Lytechinus pictus: one gene and its partners. The protein of the gene in region 3 purifies or fractionates together with the protein of the main gene of each other region. This does not show direct contact. Links are inferred from orthologs where the notes say so. Each region holds a gene or a part of one and is shown on either strand. Other genes may lie near its edges.

The links.
Region 1: the proteins of hsp90 co-chaperone Cdc37-like (region 3) and cyclin-dependent kinase 11B-like purify together in Homo sapiens (affinity purification with mass spectrometry; 4 studies listed by BioGRID and IntAct, with this or other methods). This does not show direct contact. The link is inferred for Lytechinus pictus from reciprocal best matches to the Homo sapiens genes CDC37 and CDK11B.
Region 2: the proteins of hsp90 co-chaperone Cdc37-like (region 3) and src substrate cortactin-like purify together in Homo sapiens (affinity purification with mass spectrometry; 3 studies listed by BioGRID and IntAct, with this or other methods). This does not show direct contact. The link is inferred for Lytechinus pictus from reciprocal best matches to the Homo sapiens genes CDC37 and CTTN.
Region 4: the proteins of hsp90 co-chaperone Cdc37-like (region 3) and serine/threonine-protein phosphatase 5-like purify together in Homo sapiens (affinity purification with mass spectrometry; 4 studies listed by BioGRID and IntAct, with this or other methods). This does not show direct contact. The link is inferred for Lytechinus pictus from reciprocal best matches to the Homo sapiens genes CDC37 and PPP5C.

The regions. Positions count from the first base shown.
Region 1 is NC_087258.1:23,329,610-23,337,187, forward strand, and holds the start of cyclin-dependent kinase 11B-like, read right to left. Parts: upstream 3,009-7,578; 5' UTR 2,914-3,008; intron 2,701-2,913; exon of another isoform or gene 2,581-2,700; intron 1-2,580. UniProt on the Homo sapiens protein: Plays multiple roles in cell cycle progression, cytokinesis and apoptosis. Involved in pre-mRNA splicing in a kinase activity-dependent manner. Isoform 7 may act as a negative regulator of normal cell cycle progression.
Region 2 is NC_087263.1:7,026,337-7,034,039, reverse strand, and holds the start of src substrate cortactin-like, read right to left. Parts: upstream 3,023-7,703; 5' UTR 2,933-3,022; intron 1,809-2,932; exon of another isoform or gene 1,804-1,808; 5' UTR 1,772-1,803; coding exon 1,691-1,771; intron 645-1,690; coding exon 571-644; intron 208-570; coding exon 78-207; intron 1-77.
Region 3 is NC_087263.1:6,062,357-6,069,456, reverse strand, and holds the start of hsp90 co-chaperone Cdc37-like, read right to left. Parts: upstream 3,006-7,100; 5' UTR 2,938-3,005; coding exon 2,905-2,937; intron 1-2,904. UniProt on the Homo sapiens protein: Co-chaperone that binds to numerous kinases and promotes their interaction with the Hsp90 complex, resulting in stabilization and promotion of their activity. Inhibits HSP90AA1 ATPase activity.
Region 4 is NC_087251.1:45,944,078-45,951,163, reverse strand, and holds the start of serine/threonine-protein phosphatase 5-like, read right to left. Parts: upstream 3,005-7,086; 5' UTR 2,960-3,004; coding exon 2,824-2,959; intron 1-2,823. UniProt on the Homo sapiens protein: Serine/threonine-protein phosphatase that dephosphorylates a myriad of proteins involved in different signaling pathways including the kinases CSNK1E, ASK1/MAP3K5, PRKDC and RAF1, the nuclear receptors NR3C1, PPARG, ESR1 and ESR2, SMAD proteins and TAU/MAPT.

The DNA of each region.
Region 1 (7,578 bases), on a different chromosome or scaffold from region 3:
GAAAGCAATTCCAGGCTCCAGGGGAGTAAGCCTACGTATACATGTAGTAGACTTATTTTTACTCTCCAGGAGCCTCCAGGCTAGGTGCATGTGCATATGGAACTCTTACCTCAAAGATTTCTCCACACAAGAAATCTATGAAAGTTCATTCACCTGTCGAGTGTTAGTATACTAATACTAACCTCGCAAAACTTGTGAGTGGTCGAGTGCCAACATCAATTGAGTGCGCTAGTCAATGTAAACATATCAGGTTTCATTACAAGATTGGAAGACGGCAAGTCGTGAAAAATAGACGGTGAACTGGAGGGAACTGAGGTCACTGAATCTAATTTTAGCCCTCTCCATCCCCGTACTTGCCGTCTATGTCCCGCAGGCGTAAGTGAAAAAAAAACTGTCCCCATAAACAAGGACAATCTCAGTTTATCAAGACATGATTTCTCCTGGTTAATGAGGATATCTTTGTTTTCTGGGACAATCCCAATTTTTGGACCAGCGCCTCTACTGTACTGATATGATATGGAACTCTTGCCAAAATCCCTGAATCGTGTGTGAACAGTGAAGTGAATGGGTGCGCAGACATGGGGCACCATTTTTTTTTTCAATCTGAAAATGACTGGCTGAGGTTTTTTCCCAAGAAATATATTTCTAACGTTAAGCTCAGCTTATCAGTCCCACCCAAGGGTTCATTACATGCCGCCGCGCACAGAAAAATCAAGCTATAGTTGTCGTGTGTGGTGGACACCAGGGTCCCGTAACCCGGGGGGGGGGCACTCAGTAGGCCTATATAATGCATAGTGGGTATGTGCCGCAGAGGGGACCCCCATTTTTACACTCAAATTTCCGTTCCAAGGCATAGCATTTTTGTCTTCTTGAGAAAAAGAACAAAGAAAGCCGCTCCAAAGCATAGCATTTTCTTCTTATTGAGAAAAAAGAAGAAAGAAATCCGCTCCAAAGCTTCGCATATTTTTCGTTACGCCGTTCCCGTCGCATTGATCTGCTACAAGGAGCTGCAATTTTGGTGAAAAGCGGCCGCAGAGCGCTGTCCGACCATCGCCTCTGCGCAAGCGCACCCGGCGGAGGCCGTGCTAGCTGCATCATGCACGCATGCCCGTTCCACAGGGATGCATACGCACTCACACGCTGGCGATCCGTTCCAAGGACCCCCGTTTTCACAAACATTTGTAGTTCCGAAGCCCGTTCCGAGGACCCTCCTTTTTACAATAAGCCCGCTCCAAGGCCCCCGTTTTTTGTCTCGCCCGCGGCACACCCCTACCACTTTTTTGGTCGAGTGCCCCCCCCCCCCCCGGCCCGAAACACAAAACTTTCAGTTAGCGATTGATCGTACACTTGATTTTAATTTTACGAATATGATTATGTTATGTTGTAGTCCCTAGTTATACCGAGGTTATACCTGACTGCTAAGAAAGCACGAATGCCTGTGAGCAAGCAACCAGTGGACCAACGGCTTAAGGTCCTCTCCGAGGGACCTGGTAATGAGGATAAATGCCTTACCAAAGGGCACTAGCGCACCACTTGGGAATCGAACCCGGGTCACCGGAATCCGAAACCCCCGCTCTACCGACTGAGCTATCGCGCCTCCCCAGATACATTGAGTGATTGACATTGTAGTCGATGGAATCAATCGTAGGAAAATGTTCTACGTCTACGATCATTGCTAAGCTTTGTGTTACGGGTCTATGAAGTGGGGTCCCACCGTCCCAGGCTCAGCACGCCCGACCCACTAGTTAGAAATCCACTGCCAAACGCGGTTCATGGTGCGAGGTTAGTAACCTCGCAAGTCGCAATACGTGTGTGACTGTGACCACTCCTAGTACCAATGAGGTCCAACATTACATGTATGGACCTCATAGGCGACATCAGTAGTATTTTTGGTTAGAAATCTCTGAGAACAGGATATTTAAACATTATATCACAAGTACAAGCTATAATTCCTTTCTCTTATTTAAATTATAATTTTATAGTGTAAATGCATCGTTAGCAACAACAAAAAATGAAAGAAATGAAGGGGAACTTACATTTTCACGGCTTTTTCCTGATTTTCTGGGCAGCTGCTCTTTTCTTCTGACTCGCGATCGAAGCTGATATGAAGATCACGTGATTCGCGTTCTCGTCAGCTGATCGGTTGGTTATTCTTTTCGTCAGACGTTAATAATATATATTTTATAATGCTAGCATTCATCGCTAATTTAGGTGAAAGAGATTGAAGTTAAACAGCGCCAGGTCGGAATCATAATTATTTTGGAAGAGTGTATTTATACACTCGATCTCATACCTGACGTAGACGGCGCTATTCAACAAATGCACAATCTTCAATATAAAAAATAAAACAGAAAGAACGCCTTGAACACAGGCCAAAATGCCTAACGATTTCTCCGCGGCATTAACAACTATCGTAAAGGGCGCTCCATTTATCAATAAAGATGGACGCTAAGCTGTCTATGGCGACAAAATTTGCCGCAAATATTTACGAAGAATTGTGAGAAATGGTCTGAAAATGCAACAAAAGAACCGGTGAGTACCGATTAAACATTATTAAATTTGTAAATAGATTATACATACCTTGTAGATTTAGTTTTTAAGGTGATATTAGTGCTTAGTTCTAAGCTAGGGAGGCCCAAACGCGCGTGAGTGGAGTCCCAGTTTATTAGCACGGGTAAGTATTGGGGTGTCGCCTAGAGTGACTGTGACTGTGTGAGTGCATCAGTCCTGCCTCTCATGCCTCTGGTCCCATCAATTCAATTTCAGTGTCGGTTGAGTGTTTTTAATTTAAAAAAAAAGCCACGGTCTTTTCTTTCACAATCATCAGTAATCACAACATAACTTATTGTGAAATAGTCATATCAACCTAGGTCTTCCTACATTTTTAAAATCAAATCAAATCAAAGATCTTACCCAAGCGTACGCGACAGCAAAGCCAATAAGGGACAGCAACGCAACAAGAGAAAACGATTCGATTGATTGATGAATCTCGTGATAAAGCGCCATCTATTGTTCGAGAGTGTAGCAAAAAAAAATGTAAATTGGCGGATAAGGTTCTGTGATCGTGAGGATGCCTAAATCTGTTCCTGGGGCGGAATTAATCCGTTATCTCGGGGAGGGGGGTGCATGCACAACTGGCTTCCGAAAGTTCAAATTAGATGTAGATATTACGAATAAGCGGAGTGGGCAATAAACAGATGTTTTTTATCATCTCCAAAAAGTTCCACGACCACTGGAAAAATTTATCAGAGAAAAATAATTTTATTTACTTATAGCCCGAATTATTTGAATGTGCATAAAAGTCATTGATTAATCAATGACTTTCAATCTAATAAAAGGGTCATTTTCTTTTCTTGCTCCAAAAAAAAGAAGCCCCCCCCCCCGTGTTCCACATTGCTAATAAATATCATCCTCGTTATATTATCTGATGAAACGGTTTCTGACAGCATGTAGTTGAAGTTTCCTGCATTTGATTTGTTTTGTCATGTTTCTCCTTTTGTTTTGGTTTTGTTTAATTTGTGACTCTGTTTATTGTTAGAAATGTTAACTTATCATTGTAACTTATGTTCGATAATTTGTAAAAAAAAATTGTGCATTACATTATTGTAATCCCCGTTGTAATCCTTTATGTTTGGATTTGAAAAACCGTATATCACTGGCGGATCCAGGGGGCAATTCACCCCCCCCCCTCCTTGAGAGGGATTTTTAATGTAAAATTGCCGTTAAAAAGATGTGCCCCCCCCCCCATTTGACAGTGAATACCTTTATTTTGTTTAACTTTTTTTAATTTGAGGGAAAATGTGCCCCCCCCCGGCCCCTTTGAAAACTCCTGGATCCGCCCCTGTGAGATAGTAGGGCCTATTACTGGCTGACCTCAAGAACTATGATTTTATGGTATTGCTGCAAGCGGATATACTAAAAGGTGTTACACATCAAACGCAGCACCCCTTGGAAATTAGCTTGGTCGGCTAAAATGTAAAGTTATGATCTAAAACCCTTTTTCTTCGATCTCAGTTAGTAAACTTTTTTTTTTCCCCCAGACAAAATAATCCTTTTCGGGTGAAATGAACCTCGGCTTTCTTTCTTTCTTCCTTCCTTCCTTCCTTCCTTCCTTCCTTCCTTCCTCCTTCCTTCCTTCCTTTTTTTTCTTTTTCTATCTTTCTTTTTCTATCTTTATTTTTTTCTTTCTATCTATATAGGCCTATCTTTCTTTTTTGGGTTTCTTTCTTTCTTTTCAAGCAAATCAGGGTGAACTTTAGTCTTATAATTCCCATGCAGGCCCCTGCAAAGCGGGAAAGCATTCCCCGATTCTCATCATTTCTTTATGATCCAATTCAAGCAACGATGTCATACAACGATGATGATGATGACAGGGGCGGAAATCTCTCCCAAAAGGTATAGGGGGACGCAGGTGCGGATCCAGCCTTCGCCAATAGGGGGGCGGAAATTTGTTTCAGCCATATTTTTCCCCGATCGGCAGCTCGAAGATGATTTTTGTTTGTGTCTTTGAAGGGGTAGTCCTCATTATTCACCTCTTAGCTTTATTCTTATAAATTAATTTACAATATCATAATCCTTATTCATATGATGCGAGCGCGAAGCGCGAGCTAATTTTGTTGTTGTTGAAATTTTATGTATTTTTCCTAAAATTTGAACATTCTGGGCAATGTTTGTTATCCTGAAAAAGATGTGTATGCAACTAAATAATTACTACGAACGCAAAGCGCGAGCAGAAATGAACTGATGGAAAATATACCAGTTAAAGATTGCTTGCATTTAGCATTTAATAATCTAATAATGCGAGCGCGAAGCGCGAGCTGAATTTTTTTTTACATTTTCACCTAAAGAATGGAAATTCTAAGCACTTTTTGTAACTCGAGTAGAATAGTGATATAAGTAGACAATTGATGCGAGCGCAAAGCGCGAGCGGAAAATTTCGAGATTTAGTCCTAGCTATACTATTTACTTAACGGGACACTCTATTCATGTTTTGTAAATCATGAAAAGGATTAGTATTAATGATGCAAGCGCAATGCGCGAGCAGAAATTTTTTTTATACGTTTTGAACTGGTACCTGTTGAAAAAGTACCTGTTAAAGGACAATTCCACCCCAACAAAAACTTGATTTGAATAAAAAGATAAAAATTCAACAAGCATAACACTGAAAATTTCATCAAAATCGGATGTAAAATAAGAAAGTTATGACATTTTAAAGTTTCGCTTCATTTCACAAAACAGTCAGGCGCGTAGCCAGGGGGGGGCGGTGGGGGCGGTCGCCCCCCCAAAAAAAAACGTCCCCAAAAAGAAAAAAAAGGGAAAAAGAGGAAAAAAAGGAAAAGGGAAGGGAGGAAAGGGAAGAAAGGTAGCTTTGTCGGTTTTTTTTTCTTTTTATTCTTTATTTTTTTTCTCAAAAGAGAAACTCCTTCACTCTTGCTTTAAATTTATATATGAATTTTGCTTCCGCGCTGCGCGCGGTTAAATGACAATATTGAAGTTCTCCATTGTTTCCCCCACCCTTTCTCTAACTCTGCTTTTCCACCTCAGCTATATGTGTTTCTTGCCAGTTAAAGTTCAAATGTATAGATTAGGGCATGGAATTAGAGTAAGGTTAGGCCGAAGTATATGAAGTTATCTTTTTTTTTATTGATCGCGCAACTTCTGGTCGGGTCGGCTCCGGGCGGGTAAAATCTTTATATCAATTTCTGCCGTAAAGTCAACTTCTCCCGCTTTTCAGGTCATTACTAAACAACCATAATTTGGGGCAAACAGGTTCCTAATTGAAGAGGAATGTATAAAATTCGTGTCGTATTAAATAAAAAAGTACAATATTTTTTTTCAAATTCTATTAATCTTCATGTTATTTCCCTGCACATTCATCTCCTGTCCTGTTTTGCGCCCTCAGTTTGAAATTTTGAATGACACTTAGGTTTCTTTATAATTAAAAATGAAGCGCTTCAGGATAAGTCAAAGAAATTAGGCATCCTTTTTTATATTATTTTAATAAATCACAGAAGTTTCAACTTTTTGCGCACTATTTTCCTTGTAATGAAGTTCAATAATCTTAGGAAATCAATTGAATTAGAGCCGATGGGGTATTAGATATATCTGCATTTGATGAAACGTCCGCCCTTTGAAATTTCAGAGTTTTATTGCTCTGCGCGGGGAGGAATATCTTCCTCCCGGCATATACACTTCTTCTCCTCTGTTTTGCGAGTTAAAGATATGCACTGTCGCTAAATTGTTTGTAATCAAATCTGATATTTCCAAGGAAGTATTCAATATATCTTTGAGAATACCCTTTTCTCGGGACCCTTTTCATGGCAAAAAAATTTGATAAAACGCTTTAGCTTCCGCGCTTCGCGCGGGGTTATAATGATTTTAATTTCCTCCATTGTATTCCTTTTTGTGCGTTCACAATCACTTTTAAAAACAAGTTCAAAATCACAATAAAGTCAACTGAATTGGAGCTGATATAGGTACTAGAGACAAGAGAGACGGTTCCTTTTCATTTTAATTTATGAAACACCAAAAGCTTCGCGCTTCGCGCGAGAGGGGGAAACTCCCCCTCCCTGCACCCACCCCCTAGGGAGCGCGCTTCGCGCGCTCTGTAAGTGTTGGCACGCTTCGCGTGCATTTACCGCCCCCTCCAAAATGAAATCCTGGCTACGCGGTTGAAAACGTACAGTTATATGCACATATCGGTCGGTATGCAAATCAGTGAGGGAACTGATGACATCACTCACTCACTATTTCTTTTGTATTTTATATCAAATATTTTGATTTTCTCATCATTGTCATGTGAAATGAAGTTTCATTCCTCCCTGAACACGTGGAATTCCATTATTTTAATATTTTGTGCTTCAGGCAGGGAGGTCCTAATCATCAAATTCGTAAAAATTGAAATATTGTATAATTCAAACAATAAAAAACAAAAGATATAGTGAGTGAATGACATCACCGACTCTCTCATTTGGATGTAACTGGCTCGTTCATATAACTATTTTGTTAAAAATAAGTGAAACTTTGAAATGTCATAACTTTCTTATTTTACATCCGATTTTGATGAAATTTTCAGCATTGTGCTTGTCTGATTTTTCTCTATTTATTCAAATCAACATTTTTCAGAGGTGGACTTGACCTTTAAGGACTGCTTGCACTTAGCCATGAAGGCATTACATATTTTAACAATCAAAAAATGCGAGCGCGAAGCGCGAGCTGAAAATTTTTGAAATTTCTAAAGAAAGAATGGAAAATTTTAATCAATTTTTGTAGTCGTGAACAGGATAGCTATATCATCTAACAATTATTGCGAGCGCGAAGTGCGAGCAAAAAAAAAATCGAGATTTAGACCTAAAAATGGGCCACTCTGTTGATGTTTTGTAAATCATGAAAAGGATGAGTATAGGGGGTCTTCCTACAATAATTATGCGAGCACAAAGCGCGAGCAGAATTTTTTTTTTTGTGATTTTTTTTTAGTGAAACTGGATAATGATTTAAATATAAACATGCGCGCGTGTTTCTTATTTAGACCTATAATCTAGGCATTCTAAATACATCTTTAATCATGAAACGTTGATA
Region 2 (7,703 bases), about 960 kb from region 3:
TTGCATAATTTTATAACCAGCTTTATGCATTCCCTAAGGTTTATATATCATAGCAAATTTAACCCTTAGTCCCATACCTTATCCATCCTGTCCTGCTGAACGCCAAACTTCCCTCCATATCCGTACGAAGCTTTGGGAGCAGTGGCCTGTTCCTTTTCCTTTGTCTTGGCATCGTCTTGCTTCACATTCTCTCTCAGCTCATTGATACTGATGTAAAATTTTAATTTGAAAGTATTCAATTATAGATAAAAGATGAATATATTATATTGCAAGCATTCATGTTTTTTTTCTAAATTTCAGCAAGCTGATACAGGAAAACATGGAGAAAATATTTTTTAGAAGAGTGAGAGTTACAAAAAAATTAGATGATGAAATTAAAGTTGGAGAGAGAAGAGGAGGACAAAGAGAAAGAGGAGAGAAGACAACAAAAAAGAGGCAAGGAAAATGATACAGAGAAGAAGAAATTTATAGAGAAAGAGAGAAGATCAAAACAAAAATGAAAAGAAAAAAAAGATGAAGTAGAAGATGAAGAAAACAGAAAAGAAGAGGAACAAAGGAAACCTTACTTACTTGAGAGACCCTTGCCTTCCTGATCCTTCAACAGATTTGGACCCCCATCTCTGTTCTTTTTCACTCACATCGTTCTACAAAAAATATAAATTAAATACAAGTACAATGTATATATATGATTTATATTGATATAATAATCATTATTATCATTATCATCATACTAATAATTATTAAATCAACTATAAACATTACTTTATAATTATTATCAATATGCCTACTATAATCATTTTTCATCTGCATCATCATTCCAAACTATCATTACAATCACTACCGGTATTATTGCTTTTATTATTATAATCTTTATCATTTTTCTAAATAATTTCAAGTACTACAATATTTTTTCATCATTTTACACCAGAAGTATTATTACTCTAGTAACATCATGGTAGTTCATCCTGAAGATTATTAAAGAAATATGTTAGAGAAGGTTTGATGAAAATCCATGGAAGAAGAAGAGTAATATTTTTTTTAAGTTTTACATTTGTGACATCATATACAAGCAGCTTCTCCATATGTCTGGAATACAAATTCCATAAATTCCAATTTTGGAATTGAACATGATGAATACAAATTACTTTCCTCATACATTAGAATGGATGTGAAATATTCACCTGCACAGGTAACAATACATTTTTTTGAAAATGGCATTTGGGGAATTTATCACACAACATATATGGAGGAGCTGCTCGTCTGTGACATTACAAAATAAAAACTTTAATAAAAACTTCATAACTCCTTGACATATTTCCATCAAACCTTAAACAATAAATACTATATTGTTTTCTGATTTCTCTGCCTTCAGTAACATCAATCTATTATCAGTGTGAAGTTCCCTTTCAATATGGGAACCAGACTCATTGATTCAACTTTTGCAGTGATACCTGCTGATCTCAGAACAGCGGAGGAACTGAAACGAGAGAGAGAGAGGTGGTGGTAGTGATTGTTTTTACTTGCACGCTGTAAGCAGTTTTTTATTGAATAATGTACATACACTTGCACGCTGCACTTCACCAGTACGACAATACACCAGACGGTGGACTGTACCGTTTCCAGAAGAAGAAGAAGAAGAAGATTAAGAAGGAAACAATTCAGTAGTCAACAGATAAGGCTTATTACTCACCACGAAATCTGGATCAGTTTCCCAATCGTCATCCTCTTCCTGTGCGACATTCACATTGTTTCCTACTTGGGACCTCCACATCTTGGGTCAGTTCCAAATTTTCTCTATTTTACCTTTTCTTTTAAAAGAGCAAGGAAGAAAAAAAAAGATGATGAAGAAGTAATCAATGATGAAATAAAAGTGGAAAATGAGAAAAATAATCTATGTAAATGCATAGAATCTACAGAATAATAGCAAAACAAAAAGAAAAGAATGTGATCATTCAGTTTTTAAGAGTTCCTTTTGGATCTGGATGTATACGATGCAGGGCCCTCCTGGGCATAAACGTATCGGGTACTTGACCTGGATTTTGCCGGGACCGGCAGGTGCAATACACCGGGTGAACACCCTACTCTTTGATGAATAGTGTATTGGTTTTAACGTGCATAGCCATAGGTTGTACCTCTCCTAGGCTATAGATAGTATACACGGGACCAACATTTGCGTCCTTTCCGATGGACGGAGTGTTTTTCCATCTGTATTCAAAGTTTCAAACCTGCACTGAATACAGTGGTGAGGCACGCTAACACACAACGCTATAGCATCAGACTTGTTTTTGTTAGACGCGTTTCGGCACGAGCGGGACTCGAACCCCTCACCTTGAGATCTACGATCTTAAAATTCTTATCCGAAATATGCGCTCTAATAACCGACTGAGCTACGCTGCCTCCATAGATTATTTTGCGACAGCCAGCCCAACCCTAGGGAAATCCATCTTTGTTTACAAACTTTGACACACAGCTTTTTATTATAATATTCCACGTATCTCTAACTTAGTCTAACATTACTTAGCCTTCGTGATAAAAAGACTAATATTAATCATCAGACAAGACAGATCACTATCGACTTTATCGTTGTAGGCTAGTCTAGATCTACTGAAAATTCGTATGTTTACAGGCGAACAACATGATGAACCGGTCTACTACCACCAAAATAACTAAATATAACACGTAAATCTACATTTAGACCTGCAACAAAAATGTTACTAAATAAATTGATCTATTTCATAGCAGACTCTATATTGCAGTCCCACGTACTATTTTTGGTGTAATGAGGAAGTACGTACCTGCACATCTAATATCATTCTACTCGTTCAAAACACACACAGTGAACAATATTTCATCTTAAATAACTGCAAAATATAACAGGATATCGTATCGAATATTTATAAGGCAACTTAATAACAAAGAAATAACATTTTACCTTGTAAACGGTGTAGCTTTCAACGCCCACTGAAGTTGCGTCGATACGGTAGTGAGCAGATTACTTCCGCAATTTAGACTGTGCTACAGAAATGATTGTCCGCGCCGCAGCTACGTGCCTTGCGTGGTAATGTTATACAGAAGGCCATAATTTGTAAAAAAAAAATGTTCATTTTATTGATTTGACCTCCGACTTTTGTTGGTGCCCCCCCCCCCCCCACCTGATGACATCAATATAAATTATCGTTAATTTAGGTAGAGATATGTCAATAATATTACATAGGTTATGTTGGGGACAAACAATGAACATTAATTTGTGCACCAAACCGTTATTTATCATTGCATCTTTATGGTCTGATACACATTGTCCTGTCTTCCACTGTGACGTCACTCTTACCGAAAGCTCGATTCAAACATTTTTACAATTTCTTTCCGAAAATAAATGTTTGGCCATTCTATCAGTTAATTTTAGCACCCCCTCTCGGTGATGTTTTATTTTCTACACATTCATTTAGTGCAACGTTTCATGAAAGAACTTGTCGAGTGTTTTGTATGATTAACTAACAGTGACCACTATAGAGCCAGCTAGGCAAGTTGTACGAAGGGGCGGGTCCAGGATTTTCCAAAGGGGGGGGGGGGGGGGCACATTTTCCCGATAAAAACTTGATAAGCAAAAAAAAAGTCCTCACTTTCAAAGGGGGGCACACTTGGGTAAAAACGGCATATTTATATTACAAAATATTGATTATGGCTCTCAAAATGGGGGGGGGGGGGGGGGGGGCACGAGCCAGATGTGCCCTCCCCCTGGATCCCCCAATGATTGTACCTCAATCAAAATAAAAAAAAGTTGTCAGATCCGACTTGTAGGATGACGATATCATGATTATTGAGGAGTGATGTAAATACCGAAATGGGGATAAAAAAAATTAAAAACAATTGATAAATAAAATAAATACCCATTTTATCGGGATTTGAAATAATTATCTTTTTCTGGTCAGTGATTTGCTATTAAAGTTTGATTGTAGAAATGAATGAAGTGAATTGAAATCACGAGGTTTGTTTCATAAAGTTGGATGTCACATTGAAACGCACGATTTTTTTATATTGGGCCGCGAAAAATCATGAAAACGAATAAAATTTTGTAAAAAAAGACCCTTTAATTCGCATTTTCGATGACGATAAAACTCCCCTTTGTGTATCTAGACGCCCGAAGGTTTGCATCAAAAATTGGAAAGAAACATCTGAAATTAAGTATTTGTCAGTCTTGTGAACAAGTTAAACACTAACCCCGATCTCGACAGGATCTGCCCCAAGGGCCCTTCAATCTACCCCATCCACAGGAATTCCACTTTGAATGCCTTGGACTTCACAGAATAGAAAGCGTATCTAGAGGGAACGACGGGGGGGGGGGGGGTGTTTTAAGGGGTGATGACCAACCTACAAAATGAAACATGAACATAACAAATGACCATATAAAAAAGTTTTAATATATTGAACACATGTACATTTCATTCATAAACATAGATCTTTACATAAAAAAAAAACACACAGCATGATTATGTACAATAACTTTAAAATGGAATCTGAGACACATCCCCGGGGGGGGGGCACTCAGTATATAATGCATAGTGGGTATGTGCCGCGGAGGGGACCCCCATTTTTACACTCAAATTTCCGTTCCGAGGCATAGCATTTGTGTCTTATTGAGAAAAAGAACAAAGAAAGCCGCTCCAAAGCATAGCATTTTCTTCTTCACGAGAAAAAAAGAAGAAAAAAATCCGCTCCAGGGCTTCGCATATTTTCCGTTACGCCGTTCCGGTTGCAATTTTGCGGCCGCAGCTCGCTGTCTGACCATCGCCTCTGCGCTAGCGCGCCCGTCAGTAGTGCCGAAGCCCAGCTGCATGCACGTTCCATAGGGATGCATACGCACTCGCACGCAGGCGACCCGTTCCAAGGACCCCCGTTTTCACAAACATTTGTAGTTCCGAAGCCCGTTCCGAGGACCCTCCTTTTTACAATAAGCCCGCTCCAAGGCCCCCGTTTTTTGTCTCGCCCGCGGCACACCCCCACCACTTTTTTGGTCGAGTGCCCCCCCCCCCGGGGACACATCAATATGTCACAATCACACTACTTGATCTATACATTTAAAAACACAATATATGTATAATAACTTTGAAAAAATAATCTAAGGCCCATCAATGTCATACTCACACCACATGTACATTTTTCTTCATAAACATTAAAAAAAAACAGCATAATTATGTACAATAACTTTGAAATGGAATCTGAGGCACATCAATGTCACAGTCAGTCACATCACTTGATCTATACATTTAAAAACACAGCATATGTATAATAACTTTGAAATAGAATCTGAGGCACATCAATTTCACAGTCAAACCACATGTACATTTTTCTTCATAAACATGGATCTATACATTAAAAAAAACACACAGCATGATTATGTACAATAACTCTGAAATGGAATCTAAGGCACATCAATGAAACAGTCACACCACATGTACATTTTTCTTCATAAACATTTGAAAAAACACACACAGCATAAATGTATGTACTTTGAAATGGAATCTGAGACACATCAATGTCCGTCACATCACTTGATCCATACATTTTAAAAACACAGCATATGTATAACTTTGAAAAAGAATCTAAGGCCCATCAATGTCATATAGTCACACTACATGTACATTTTTCTTCATAAACATAGATGCATACATTAAAAAAAAACAGCATAATTATGTATAGCAACTTTGAAATAGAATCTGAGGCTCATCAACGTAACAGTCAAACCAAATGTACACTTTCCTTCATAAACATAGATCCATACATTAAAAAAAACACACAGCATCGTGTTCAATAACTCTGAAATGGAATCTGAGACACATCAATGTGACAGTCACACCGTCACACCACTTGATCTATACATTTTAAAAACACAGCATACATGTATGTATAATAACTTTGAAATAAAATCTGAGACACATCAATGTTACAGTCAAACCACATATACATTTTTCTTCATAAACACAGATCTATACATAAAAAAAAACATACATAGCATGATTATGTACAATAACTATGAAATTGAATCTGAGACACATCCATGTGACAGTCACACAGTGATACCGACTCAAGACTAACACAATCTATTTAGACCACCGCACGTCCACGGTCCCATTTTGGAACAAATCGCATTTTGCTCATTTTATATTTTTATTTGAGGTTCAGATTAACTGTGAGAACATTAATATAACAAATTTGTATGATTGAAAGCCTTTATTTTTGAGTAAAATGAGTAAAGTCCAAATTAGTTTCAAATCGTGCAATTGCTATGATGTCATTACAATATATTAAATCCGCTTTTATTCTATAATAGGGATGATAGCATAGTCACATATTTGAACATAGGTATTCGTACGATGATTTAGAACATTTAATCACAGTACGATCATATTCTATGTCTCAATATAAGCATCAAATTCTACTACGTTTTGTTCCAAAATCGGGTCGCGGACCAATCGTCAGGTGTGGCCTGTACATCGATTACAATAACATAAAATCGGTCCGTTTGGAGTCGGTTTCGTTGGTGTGATGGTAGCTGTACACATGAAATAAAAACCACATGTTCTTTAATACACTCATACATGTGTTTGTATACAATGTGAATCTGAAATCACTTTGGTTGAAACAGCGAAGAGGGGGAAAAATCAACACCCCAACTGTTTCATTTCTTGAATCGTTCTCAAATGATTAAACAGGACTGAACGTGTTTCAGACAGAAAGTGTTATCTTTTATCCATATTATTTAAAAGCACGTCCAAAAACACCTGAAAATCAGGAGCTGTGGAATAGGGGGGGGGGGCGCTGGGCTGGGTGGGATTAAGCCCCCCTCCCTCCCCCACTTTTTTTCTAAAACCGTTGACAAAAACGTAAAAATGATCATCTGATTGTGTTGTTTTGCATGGTCAGCTCCCCCAACTTTCAAACTTGTTCCGCAACCCCTGAAAATGTATGTATATATATATATATATATATATACAGGCGTAACATAAATCGATGTCAGATCAATAGATGCATAATTTCTTCACTAAGAAATACAGTTAAACTACGCGTTACATATAAAAAAAAGTATTGAACTGCAGCTGCAGCTTTAAAAGCACGTCGAATAAAATAAAAAAGACGATTTCTAAATTTAAACAGTTATAATATCTGTACGTGTTTTATACAGAAAGAAAATGTATGCATCTACATAAATCAAACTCTATTGTACATTAAAAATCACGCCAAATGGAAGGCGTAACATAAATCGATGTCAGATCGATAGATGCATAATTTCTTCACTAAGAAATACAGTTAAACTACGCGTTACATATTAAAAAAAGTATTGAACTGCAGCTGCAGCTTTAAAAGCACGTCGAATAAAATAAAAAAGACGATTTCTAAATTTAAACAGTTATAATATCTGTACGTGTTTTATACAGAAAGAAAATGTATGCATCTACATAAATCAAACTCTATTGTACATTAAAAATCACGCCAAATGGAAGGCGTAACATAAATCGATGTCAGATCAATAGATGCATAATTTCTTCACTAGATAAAGAAATAAAGTTAAACTATGCGTTACATAAAAAAAATCATTGAATTACAGCTGCAGCTTTAAAAGCACGTCGAATAAAATAAAAAAGACGATTTCTAAATTTAAACAGTTAAAATATCTGTACGTGTTTTATACAGAAAGAAAATTTATG
Region 3 (7,100 bases):
TGACTAAAAACTCACCGATTTTTCCACCTCCGGTGACCGTCACTACTCTTGGTTCGTTCAATGGTGTTTGATCGTGACAAATCGAAAAAGAAAAAAATATCACGAAGCCATAGAGGTTCATCCACCCCGATGGATGAAACACTACTCGTGATGCATTCTGGTAAACATGTCTCGATAGCCTCGACAGATTGGCAATTTTGTTTCGTCTAGATAAACATGTTTAAAGAATAAAAAAGTCCAAAAACTCCAAATGGCTATTTTGGGGGGCTTATCTATAATATTTCTAGTACTGTATCCAGAGCATCATTTGTCTGTTTTCCTCTTCCCTTACCCTTTCTTTCTTTTTTCTTTTGAGCGTAAATTAATTCTTTTGATTTTTTATTTCTTACTTTTTTTTCAGTCTTTGTTCTTTGGTTTTTTTTCTTCTTTATTTCTATTAAGGGGAACTCTCCCCTCCTCCTGAAATTTAAGGGGTATTGAATGTGTACCCCCCCCCTCCGCCGCCTGTGACAACAATAATTCTTGTGTAAAAAAAAAATAGTGAACAAAATATTGAGTGTCAGGCAGTGGCGTACCCAGGATTTTCCAAAGGGGGGGCAAATTCGTCCGCCAAAAAATTTGAAAAAAAAAAAAAAAAAAAAAAGGTCTTCAAGTTCAAAAGAGGGGGCCACTTGTGGCTCGTCACAGGGATCAGTTGTGACTCGTCAGGGGGGCAGGGGTACGTCCCTTGCATGAGTTGTGACTCGTCAGGGGGTGCAGTCTGCCCTCCCTGCCCCTTAGGTACGTTAGTGGTGTCTGGTGAGAAAAAGACTACAGTCCCCGGATCACGGAGCTTCCTATTATTATGCTTCACCGGAAACAGGTAGGAGCTTATTGTAACCAGCTCTGTGGTCGCCACTGTTCAGTGGCTAGCTTTCTTTTATTCAGCACAAGAGGGCGTGCTGAAATACTTACGTAGGAGACTATGGACCAGACGAGAATAAGGAAAAATTTCCTTATGATTTTACCCGATTTAGAAAGAAATCTTCAATTGAAGGACGATATTTGACTCATTGGGCATTGGAATCCTGTTTAAGTAGAACCAAAATCTGCATTTGGGTCAACACAAGAATTGGTAAGTCAGACTCTTTTACTTCGCGCGTTCCTACATTAGAAATGACAGTGTTAGCGGCACTGGTCTCAGATCAGTCCCACCCCGTACATTTTTCTGTATGGCGAATGGTCGGGGTGAACCAGTGAGCACATGCACCATTTCATTTTAGTTTTACAAAGTACCGTAAGTAACGGTGTATTAACCGCACCTTTTTCTCGGCGGGACAGAATCAAAAGTCGGGGGTGCGGTTTATACACGGTGACAGGTCTGAGCCAAGCCAATCTCAGCCCGATACCACTACCATTTTTCAACTCGCGTCGGGTGGCCGAGCGTAGCCGCTTGGGGCAATCCCGTTTAGAGGGGTATGAGCCGCGGGTATAAAAGGGAAGCAACTATGACTACCGGTATCTGCCGTAAATGTCCCTCAAAGTTATATCACGGTAACAAACGCACCTACCTTCATGAAACTGACTTATTTTAATGGTGTGACTCTGTCTTTGTTGTCATTTTTTAGTCATCGCGGCAAAGTTCAGACGCCAATCGATCGCACAGCGCGGTGCAGCTAGCCGAATAAGACATGCATGTGTAATGTTTATCGCAACGTCAACGTAAGCTGGCGCTTTACCTTTCTGTGGAAGTTATTTTGTTTGACAAATTATTGGTATTATTTGACAATTAATTTCTTTCATTTGCCTTTCCTTCATTTCTCTCTATCATCCATCATCTCAAAATCAATCTTCAATCCCCATCTTCACTCCTCCCGACTTTTTATTTTTAATTATTATTCACTTTATTCCCGCCCAGAGCTCCCATTGAAAATACGGTATACCGGTACTAGCATTTTTTTTCCTATTTTGCTGTCTGTAAGATACTGCCACACACGTACTGAGAACTACCGGTAGTGGTTCAAAGCAGACAAGAAAAACACCTGAACAAAATCGCAAATTTCTCGTATCTTGAACCTTCCCGTATTCCCTTGTCTAAAATTCATGTCAAGACATTGAATGCTAGACAGAATTCTGAAAGCAAAAGTGGGGCTGTGATGCAGGAAATATGATATGAACGATCTTCTCGTATGGGTGAGCCCCCATGTTGATGCTGGTATCGGTACTTGCAATGAACACCGGTACCATATGTGTGTGTGTGAGGTGACTCGGAGTGTGGAAGTGGCCAATAATATCGGCAACTTGCAGATAAGTGACGAAGCGCTGATTTCCCATCATTTTTTACCAGTAATTCTTCGAAAGTTCGATATTTTTTGGCTCTTGACTCTTTCTTAAATACGCATATTAGAGATAGAAAGTAAGTTTGATTAAATTTTTTTTTATGATTTTTTTTTTTTTTTTTTCCATCCGAAAATGGGGGGTGCGGTTAATACACGGGTGCGGTTAATACACCGTTACTTACGGTAATACAATACCGGTACTGAACTTCTGAAGCACAGGCTTTACTCAGTGAGTCAGTCACTGTGTCTTTTTTCCAATTTAAATTGCCAGTGCAGTGCCAAATTTAAATAAACTCACATATGAGAGGAAAAAATCCTGTCGAACCTGATGAAAAATGAAGTCCGCTCGTTTGCAACACTCCCCCCACACAACTTTGGCACAAGCTAAACTCAGTCAGACTCAGAGTCAGAGTCACAAAAATCACTTTACATCAGTCCCATAAACTGAAATTGGTGGGGTTCAACAAATTGCAATAAAGAAAATGAAGACTGGCTTTGAAATTGTTTGCAAATGATTTTAATCATCACAAAAAAATACATTATGTAAAGTCACGAATGATAAACCTAAAACGGAACATAATATTACCTCAATATGATCCCACTTGCTGTAATCAACCATTTTGTCAGAGCTTCAATACTTCTGATTCAGCTTCGATCAGATATGGACGGACGAATGTTCGGGAAATCGGCTGTATATCATCAACAGCTGGCGCTAGACCGCTTGCTCTCTCTGGCTTGCTTCAGACAGTGGTTTGTCTCCCGAGCTAGCCATATATCAAAGGTGAGTCCCGGGGATGAGTCATCGGAACTGGAGCCCCCCTCCCCCCTTCCCACACACACACCCACACACACATACTTTTTTTCAGTTTCCATGTACAAAATGTCAATATTACCATCGAATAGTGATTTTATCATTAATGTTATATATAAAGAAATCTTTAAAAAATCAATTTGATAGTTTCGGACAGCGATAGAAAGAGGGGCGCACAATCTACATGATAAAGTGGAAGGTATATGGTACACAGGTTATGAAGTTAAAATTCATAACACAAAACTCCCAACTCCTTGGTAACATTGCACATTTTAGCTCATACAATATAGCGAATGAAGTGCACTGGGTTTTTCTGAAGTTAGGTAATTTTTCACCCCCCCCCCCCTAAATTTGTTTAAGGACGTTCCACAGTTATGTTTGTGTGCATTATGATCTGCGCATATTTTACACTCCGCGCGCTGACGTCACAATGAATGAACAGGTGATTAATTAGCTGTGGGTATGAACTGAATTTTCTCATCATCTGCACTCTAACTGCAGATCCGATGCGTTAGTTTATGAAGCTAAAAAACCTTAATTATTCCATGGACCATTTAAAAAAAACATCTTTACAATTTTAAAATACTTTACTCTGCAGTGCTGCCAAAAATCACAAATATGACCCCGAGTTTAAATAAATGGTAGAGTGGTTTTGATTTTTTCTTCTCATAGATACAAAGCATTTGGCGCATTTTGGTGTTTTAAAAAGCACATTTGCTCTAATGAAAATGCTGATAGTTTGAAAACAAGCACATGAAGCCCTATTTTTTAATGTTTGCACCTCTTGGGTATACCTTCCTCTACAACTTTGCAAATTTTGGTGAAAATGACATGGATTTTGAATAAAGTGCAGCATTTATTGTACTTTTGTAGTTTGTTATTGAAATTTCACATTTTTAAGATTGGGTTTTTGTTATGTTTTACGCCATTTTTAAGAACTCACAGTGCTGTTAGACTTAAAATTGCAAACAAATAGCACTATAAATAGATTATCCATTCTAACGATACACTTATAAACTCTCTTGCGAAATTTGATGACTTTTTCATGTATTTTGACTGAGTAATAGAGGTTTAAACTCATTGTAGTGATCTTGCGAGGTCTAAAAATGCCAAATTCTTTTGAATGCGCAATCCGTAAGAACATTCATTCGGGTGAACTTTGAAGCTCCATAGCAAAAAATCAAGCACATGGACCTATGTTAATTTTTGCATATTTCGAATATTCAGGTTCTAAAGTATCTATGTGCAAAGTTTGGTGAAAATGACATGGATTTCATTTTAACTGTGGAACGTCCTTAAAGGGGAAGATCTATAACCTCTCGTCACATATACTTGAGCGTCAATCCATTGCACATCACTTATAAAGAGTGTGAACATGTTCCTTAGTTAGATACGCTTCATGTTTATGATAAAAAGACAACTTAGAATATTCCGTATTAATGTCTTAATATTAAAAAACATTCACACTCGCATTGAAAGGGGCGCGATTTTAGCGCTTGCCCCGGGCGCCGTTTGTCCAAGATACGCCACTGCAATGCTCACCTTCATGCAAGTATAGCTGCTTTTATGATTTACAAAAAAAAAATGGTTATATTTGACATCATATCACTTACGTATCACTTGAGGGGGGGGGGATCATTTGCTTTTGCTTGTCCCACTTTGTGGAATAGCCTTCCTGAAGACATAAAAAACGTACGTCTGTCGAGACTTTAAAAATCTTCTAAAAACTTTTTTTTAAACTCTTTGCTCTTTATGCGCCTTGAGCAATCTACAGAGTGGATTTGGCGCTTATTGTTATCATTATTATTATTATTAACATTATTATTATTATCATTACTATTATTATTATTATCATTATTATTATTATTATTACGTACAGATGGAGGCCTGGCTTGAGGGCCATAACCCCTCCCCAAAAACAATAAATAAATAATAATAATGATGATAAATTATAATCAATTGATGGAATAGAATTTATTTTTAAATGTAATTTGAAAATTTGTGGAATATGAATAAATGAATAAATAAATAAATAAATAAATAAATAAACAAACAAATAATCAAATTAATATTAATGAATAAATAAAATAAATAAAACAAAATAAGAGTTTGAAAAATATCACGACCAAGATAAAAGGGGGGAATAAAGCAAATGTAAGGGGAAATGATTAATAGATATATAGACCGAATCTTATATGTCATCAGTCTTCTCTCATTTGCATACCGACCAGGATGTGAATATAACTATTTTTTGAAATTTAACAAAGCTTTAAAATGTCATAACTTTCTTATTTTACATCCAATTTTGTTTGATTTTTCTCTTTTTATTCAAACCAACTTTGAACTTTGTGTGAAATTTTCCTTTTCCAATATTAAGCAATTAGGAAGAAATAAAAGGGTTGAAATTTTAATTAAATTAATCAAAATCATACTATTTACTCACCTGATTTTGCAGTTGTTTATCATGAAAATTGTCGATCACAAGCAAATTCAATAATTAAATTGGTGTATATTTTGCAGTTTTTGTATAAAAAAGGTCTAGCAATAACAAATTATGTGGGAATCCAATAAATGATTGATAAAAAAAAATCGTTTTGAGGTATCAAGTTCATGCAGCCACCACCCCCATCAGTTCAAATTCAAAAGCAGGAATTACAAATGGGGGGAACCGATTCAGCCGGATAAGACACAACACCATTTTAGAGGCCATATTGTTTATTTTTGCATAATAGTCGGCCTCTCAAAATCTAATCAGGATATATCTGCACCTGGGTAGGGGGGTCCCATGGGCACTCACGTACGGCAGTATAGGTTACTTATGTGCAGCCCTTAAGCCACCCCCCCCCCCTTCACGCCTGTTATATCAGTTCCCAATTATAATCCACTGTAACCTATTATACCCGCTCTCTCCCGTCCCCAAGCCCCTATAATTTCAGGGAAGCGTTTCATCAAGATTTTCATCCGACGAGTTGTCAGATCTGACATCTTTCTCTGATGTTGATTGGCTTATTTTTTTTATTTTTTTATTTTTTATTTATTTATTTATTTATTTATTTATTTATTTTTTTTTTTTTTTTTTTTTTACAAGTACGATAATACACCAACCCGGGGAGTGTTTCATCAACATTTTCATCCGACAAGTTGTCAGATCTGACATCTTTCTCTGATGTTGATTGGCTGAGAGGTACTGTTACTATGGTAACTGTCGGATAAAATGGGACTTGTCGGATAAAACGTCCGACAAGTCCTTTCATGAAACGCTCCCCTGGTGGACTGTACTTAAACGGATGATGATGATGATGATGAGGTACTGTTACTATGGTAACTGTCGGATAAAATGGGACTTGTCGGATAAAACGTCCGACAAGTCCTTTCATGAAACGCCCCCCTGAACTTGTCGGATAAAACGTCTGACAAGTTCTTTCATGAAACGGTCCCCATGCAGGCGTCAGTTTTCACAAATCAAGAGTATAAAGACCCTCATTTCATGTCAAATTCCAGATCCCATGGCCTTTGAACTTCGGTTGCCTTTTAAAAAAAAAGAAAAACCCTGTATAAATATTGTTTAATTCAAACAATAAAAAACAAAGGATCTAGTAAGTGAGGGACACCATCGAATCTCCCATTTGCACATCACTTAGTTGTTTTTCTATTCTCTGAAAAATACATATATGCGAAACTTAAAAATTTCATCCGATTTTGATGAAATTTTCAGCGTTGATATGCTTGTTTGATTTTCTCTATTCAAATCAACATTTTTTCTGGGGTGGATTTGACCTTTAAGGGCACTGTTTTGGATTTTGGGGCCGCAAACCTCCATCCTTTCCCATGCAGTCCAAGTGGCCCACTGGCATACAGATAGCTAGGGGTTTGGAGGCCATGCCCCACCGAAAAAAAAGTTTCACGACCAAGAAAAATAGAGGAAAAAGACAGAAAGGGAAAGGAAAAAGGGATGAATATAATAGCCTTTT
Region 4 (7,086 bases), on a different chromosome or scaffold from region 3:
CTTTAGACCCTTCTTGATGGCAAAGGGCTGTGACGTAGACCTTGTTGAGGTTGAGTGGATGAATCTCAAACAGCAAATTTTCCAGCCCTCGCAGAAAGAGAAGTTCCACCATCTGTGGAAGAATGTTCTTGTTTACCAGGAAGATGTATCCCGCAACTTGTGCCAAGTCATAAGAATACTGCTAGTCCTGCCGACATCGACATCTCAGGTGGAGAGGCAATTCTCAACCATCAAGAGGTGCCAGGAGGACTGGAGACTAAGTCTCAGCACTTCAATCATTACAGAAGTATTAAGGATATCATCAGAAAGTCCAACACCATCAAAATTCGATCCACAGGCTGCTGTGCAACGTTGGTTTCTTACAGGTATTGCATCAAGACGGCCATTTGTCCAGCCCTCTGGAAGTAGAGTCTCTACCAAACGAACAGCAGATTGGTCTTCAGAGAGTGATGGATCTTCTGACTGAAGCAGGCAAGAGGGTTTGTCGCGCCTTGTTGTATGAGTGATGTTTGAAATTATTATGTGAAATTTTGGGGAAATAACCCGGTCTCGTTGCCGAGTCACATGCCTCGAGTTTGAGTCCGAGACTGAATCCGGCATAAACAGACTCGAGTCGCACATCACTGTGTAATATTGGGGGATTCCAGCCCGAATGGGCTTCCTTTGTAGTGGAAACAGCCAGGCCAACTTTGGCGTTTCCAACTACTGAACTGTTGTCATCTGCTGCTGGTTGCCTCATGGTGGACCCAGATCGAGTGCCGGGTGCAACTCTGCTGGAGATGACCAATCGAGAGCCAGGATTTGGCATCACGTGACCGAGGTTGGAGACGGCGACACCATTTTTGGAGACCCCTTCAGATGTACGGAACCAAACCTAAACGTTGAACTATACTATTGCTGTTGTCACTTTTATGCCAGATTATTGCTGATTTGTGCTGTATTTATTGTTGTCATTGGATTCATCGTGGGATATCACTTACGGTGAGTCTACTCATTTATTGTATTCGTATATCAATGTGTATTTAGTGTCATTTAGGCTATTTTAGTGCATCTCATAATTGTTCGACTTGAGCACTCGAACAACACCTTCAAAGTTGGTGCAAATTACATATTCGCGTTTTAGTCAGAGGCACACAGCCAATATGGGAGACTGTCTCCCATGTTGGAGATTATCTCCAATATCAGAGACTTTTGTCAAGAATTTGGGTATCCAATTTCAGAGCAGAGACAGTCTCCAGTTTTGGAGGCCTATTTCCTTTATTTACATTTCCTGCAAAAGGGTTACCTTGGCAGAAAATGGAAATGTGATAAACAGATTCTTCTTGAAAATCATCCCTTTTCAACATCTACTCTTGCTTTCATAAGGAAGCTGAGGCTTAGCCTGAGCCCCACCAATTTCCCGGGGTAAAGCTTAGCCCAGGCCCGAGTTTTTATTTTAAGGCCATGAGTAGTAAGGTATTAGATTTGCGTCCGAAAATTTTTCAAATGACATGAGGCTTTTTTTCATTATTCATTATTTACTTCTAGTACCTACTTTTGACGATATTCTTGCTATCTACTTGCATATAGTGTATGTAAACATTACTGTACAGTGGCAAATTGTATAGAACGGATAGCGGTGCGTTCAACGCTAGCAGGCGTGTACATTTTGCTTATTACATGACGTCATCCAGCCACTGCCGAGAGCCAATTTATGAATGAAAATATAGTAAGCATGCGCATTGCAAGCCTTCCATAGCCCCACACAGTATTCCACCAAAACAAGTGTGCAATTCTCTATCACCTTGTACCAAAATCAACCTAGAATTTCACTTTCCTATATTATATATGAATTATGAAAGGTATTCTTGGAGGATCTATTTTCTCACCAATACCGCACAGGTAAGTGAATTTTGATTACTTCTTGCTTTTCGGTCAAAATCTTACGAATTAGCGTCGATATGGCATCGTGTTCGTTGGAGTTTGTAGAGTCTATCGCAACGTGTACAAAGTCAATTGATTTCCGGGTTTCGGAGCGTCGCGTGAATATGCATGAAATTGCCGAGTCTCGATAATTTTTGATCGATACTGGAGCGATCCGATCACGAACCAAGACCATTTCCTGCGTAGACAATGTGACCGGATATCGTTATCACTATCGATACTTTCGCACGCAGTCCGAAGGAATTATTTTGGCGACAACGTAGTCATGAAGTGATCTGCTTGTAATTTCGTGATGGAGAGTAAGTGATGGAGAGTAAGTAATGAATTTTTTTTGAAATAATTAAATTTTTTTGAAATAATGAAATTTTCATGCGGGCGGTGGATGCAAATCTAAAACTTTCATTCTCTTGGCTTAATTTTTTTTAATAAAGAAAAAAAAAATTGAAGAGCCCATTAGGGCGGTTTTGTATTGTTAACCCCCTAATGGAGGCTGCACGATTGCAAGCCGAGTTTGAGGGGAAATCAAAAATTAAAAAATGTCAAATTCTCCTCGAAACAGCCAGCTGAGAAATTTGTATCATAAAAGACATTATTATCAAGCAAACTAGACTAGAAGCTCCAGTTTCTATTTGTTGGGTGTTCTTCTAGTAGGAGATATTTTAAATGTGAAAAAAAACATATTTAAAATTCCTCCAAACAGACGGATTTCTGATGCCTACATGGAAACGTGATATCTCGTACTCGCTTACGTGCGTAAGAAATCGCACGCGTTGGTATAGGAGCCGTACGGTACCGGTTCCTATATACATGATATATCAACAGTTTAATGGCACTTCCCTTCACAGCAACGTTCATTCCTCTCAATTGCACTTTTAAAGTTCAAGAAATTGCATGATTTACCTTTGAAAAATGTATTAGCTTTATCTTTGAGAGCCTCTGCTTTTTCTCTGTCGACATCACTGATCTCTGGCTTGTCTACTATTATGTCAGGAATCGCATTTATTTTCGATGAATCACCGGTACCTGCCATCTTCATCCACGTGAAATCTCTCCATGTATTTTTCCGTATTTTTCTAAATTGGAGTACGGTATCTTCGACGGACAATCAGAAATGAAAAGGTTGTGAAGCAATTTTATGGTTGTGAAGAGATGAGAATCTTTTATGAGTTCAGGTGTAATGTTGATTAACAGTTTAAGTATAGACAAGCAAAGTTTTTCTTTTGCTCATACATTTTAGAAAATTTATGGAGTGAAGTGACTGCATGATGGAGTAAACAATGGATAACAACTTTGATTTGAAGGTTCTTTTTTTCCTTTTTGGTAAACATAATATATAGCCTCTGGAACTGCCCCCCCTTTGAATATTGCCATCCACGTTTCTAACTTACACCCCTACACTTTTCTGTCCTCTTTCATCCTTTCCTTTTATCTTCTCCTTATCCTGCTTGTTTAAAAACTAAACTCTTCTCTTCCACTAGCTATACATAGTTTTTTTCTCATCTTATTCTTCTTCCTCATATTCATTCACCACTTCATCTTCTCTCATTGTTCTTCTCCTTCATCTCCTCCATTTTCTTAAATTTAATTCTTTCTTTTTCTTAAATTTAATTCTTTCTTTTTCCTTTCTCTTTCTCATTCCCCTCTCCTCCATTCTCTCGCTCATAAAAGTGAAAATAATTTTCCAAACTTGTTATGAAATCAGGAAACCAAAAATAGTTACAGAAAATGCTAAATACTTCACAGGACAAACAAAAACTGTATGCAGCATAACAGACTTAAATTAACATATTGCAATACTTCATTTATTATTGAACAGGGTGCAATTAAAAAAAGGGAAATTAAATTTCTAATATCTTAATGAAAAAAAAAAAAGTTGGTGATAGTTAACAATAACGACATTAGTTTTGAGGGCAATACATCACTTAACATTATTGTTCTCAAAACTGTAGTTGGTTCACTTGCACACTAAGCACATTACAAGCAACAAACATTAAAAACATGAAATACGTAAAGTCATTAAATCACATTTGTTCATTAATGTTTTAGGAATTTCAATCTTTATATAACTTTTTACAATAAACCCCAAGAAATTTCAATCAAAAACATAGAAATAATGATTCCCTGAATTAATTTTGATAGTAAAGAAATGATATCCGATGCATTTGGACAGATTCAGAGTTGGTCTGTTCAATGGGCAATGGAAGGGAAACATGTGCTATAAAAAAAAAACATATCTATACAACAATGGTGACCCTGGGGTCCGTTGCAGAAAGAGTTGCGTTTAAACGCAAGTCCAAAAATCAATCACAAGTCCCAAATGCGCGCTGTTGATTGGTTGAAAATCAAGTTGCGCATGATTTTAGAGTTGCGATTGATTGCAACTATTTCTGCAACGGGCCCCTGAAAGAGTTGCAATCAATTGCAGAAAGAGTTGTAATCAATCGCAGAAAAAGTTGCAATCAATCGCAACTTGGGGCAACTTGGGGCCCGTTGTTTTCTTGGCGATTCAGTATGCCCCTCTTCGTTTACAAAAGGACATTGTGCAAATTTCTAGTGGGAACAATTATGATATTGATGGATTTCTATATAATTAAGGTTGATCGGATGAATTAAGGTTGATCGGATGAATCACAACTCTTTGTAAGACGGGACCCAGCAGTCATAAAACCCAATTGATGTATCATTCAAATACCAATAAGGTGTACTTTATTGTGATTTAATCATTTCATTGTCACTGACTTCATTGTTTTCTCACAAAAAAAAATATACAAAATTGGTTTTCTCCTTTTGACACCATTTACTTTGGTATATTGCAATAAGTATTGTGAGAAAATAGAATGCATGTTTTATGAAATGCCATATATCTTTCCATCAAAATTCATTATACTGAATTTATATTACAGTACTAAAAATAAGCATATAATCAGAGTAACTGATAATTTAATCAGTTTTAAAACTGATGAAAAAGATGGAACTTCAACTACCACTGTCAAGGCAATCTGGAAATGTTCGCTGTCACAGAAATATTTTAAAATCAGAGTACCAAAATTGAAGTAAAATACCCATTTCGAAAGAAAATAATAAAACATCTAGGTGTGAACCCCCAACTATTTTTTACCATGGGTAACGTGATGTCCATTTAGTTACTTTGCTTATCTTCAAGCTCACAAAATTGTATTTTTCATGCATTTCAATATATTGAAAATGTTATAAATATAAAACACATTAAACTGTACTCATATCATGCAGCATGTGTCGTTCACTTTTCTTCCTAGGATAATTAGTGTACATAGCAACCATGTTTGATTACATGGTTTAATCTTTGGCAAACCATATTACATTATTCTTACAATGTTCAAAAGGAAAATATCAAATGTATAATAGATTACCAGCACATTTTCATTTGCAACAATCGAGATCTTTAAAATGAAATATTTAACAATAAATAAGCTCCATAAATATCGTCAATTATTATTTTCTATTATGATAAACTTATTTGAAACATGAGGAAGACTAGTCTTTATTCAGTGTGCAATCACTAAGATCAACAAAATATTCTCGGCAACAACAAAATATAACCATGAAATTTTATTCTTTCATTGCCAAAAAATGTGTGTGCTAAATTTCATGAGCATTTCCTGAAAAGCAAGTGATTCATCCCGGGCAGTCTCACTTGCATTACACAATTCAAGTATAGCAGCAGTGTTGATTTTGTGATATTAAAATATCATACACTCTCTCCGCTCTCACTTTAATTTACTCTTTGAATATAAATTATTGAATTAATCTAAGATAACTATTGCCATGGTCCTGCTGATTGGACCAAAAGCCTCTTTCATTGGGCTTGAAACTTTTTTATATTCCTTTCAATTTTACAAATTTATGCAGTAATAGAAAAGTGGGTCATTTAGAAAAGCATCCTGGCAATGGAAATAATTGAATTTAAATCCTGAAATTTGATAACATATTCATACAAAATTATGAATTCTCAAAGTGGCAGCATGAACTTGACACAATTATCTTCATACAAGATTCAAGGAATACAAAAAAATAATTGGATTTGATATTTTTTTTAAATAAGGAGGAAACATTATTGCTGGCTCCCGCAAGAAAGGGACTTGGGGTAATTTTCACGATTTTTTTTTATTTCAAATATTGAAAGAGCACATTGTAGGCTATCCAATGATGTAAAGGTTGATTCTAAATTTCAAGTATCACTCAAAATATCATCAAATCAAAAAAGGGAATAATAAAAAAATACAATCATAAAAATAACCACTAAGTCCTTTCTTGTGGGAAGCCAACTTGATATAAGAAACACGCAGAACTACAAGTGTTATTGGACATGCAGTGCAAAGAAGATTTTTTTTCGATATGTGCCGCACTGTGCACAAACCTTAATGGGAGTGTCCAGTGTGCACCATCAGGAGAAAATATTAACTGAATTTGAAGTAAATTAATGATGCTGCCCTCATCATGAAAACCGGCACTGCTCTCACTTCTGCTATGCAGGTGAGACAATGAGAAAATACCTGAATCTGAAAAAAACATTATTTACCTGATATATTACAGCAATTACGTGGCACCTGACCACCCCCAAACAAAACCAGGATCTGGGGGGCGTTTCATCAACATTTTCGTCCGACAAGTTGTCAGATCTGACAACTTTCCTTGATAATGATTGGATGAGAGTCACTGTTACCATAGTAGCTGTCGGATAAAACAGTACTTGTCGGATAAAATGTCCGACAAGTCCTTTCATGAAACGCTCCCCAGAAGACACCCAAGATAATCAGATATCTTCTCTCTCAGTAAGGTACCTTATCAGACACTAGGATATGGACATTCTTCTCACAGCTCATAATATGAATCATGCTTAGGGGTTAAACTTGCATATTCTCAAAAAGAGATGAGAACATTCAACTCCTAGTTGAGTTGAATTCGATACCAACCACTGGCATTCTCTTGACACTAAGATGCAGCCACTGTCCTCCACGTTCAGTGTTGCCTTTGACACTAACCAGTGGTATCTCTTGACACTAAGATACGGATACTCTTCTTCAAGTCCAGTGTTGCCTTTGATTCCAACCACTGGCATCTGTTGACCCTCTGACACAGACACTCTTCTCCAATTTCAGTGTTGCCTTTGATGCCAACCAGTGG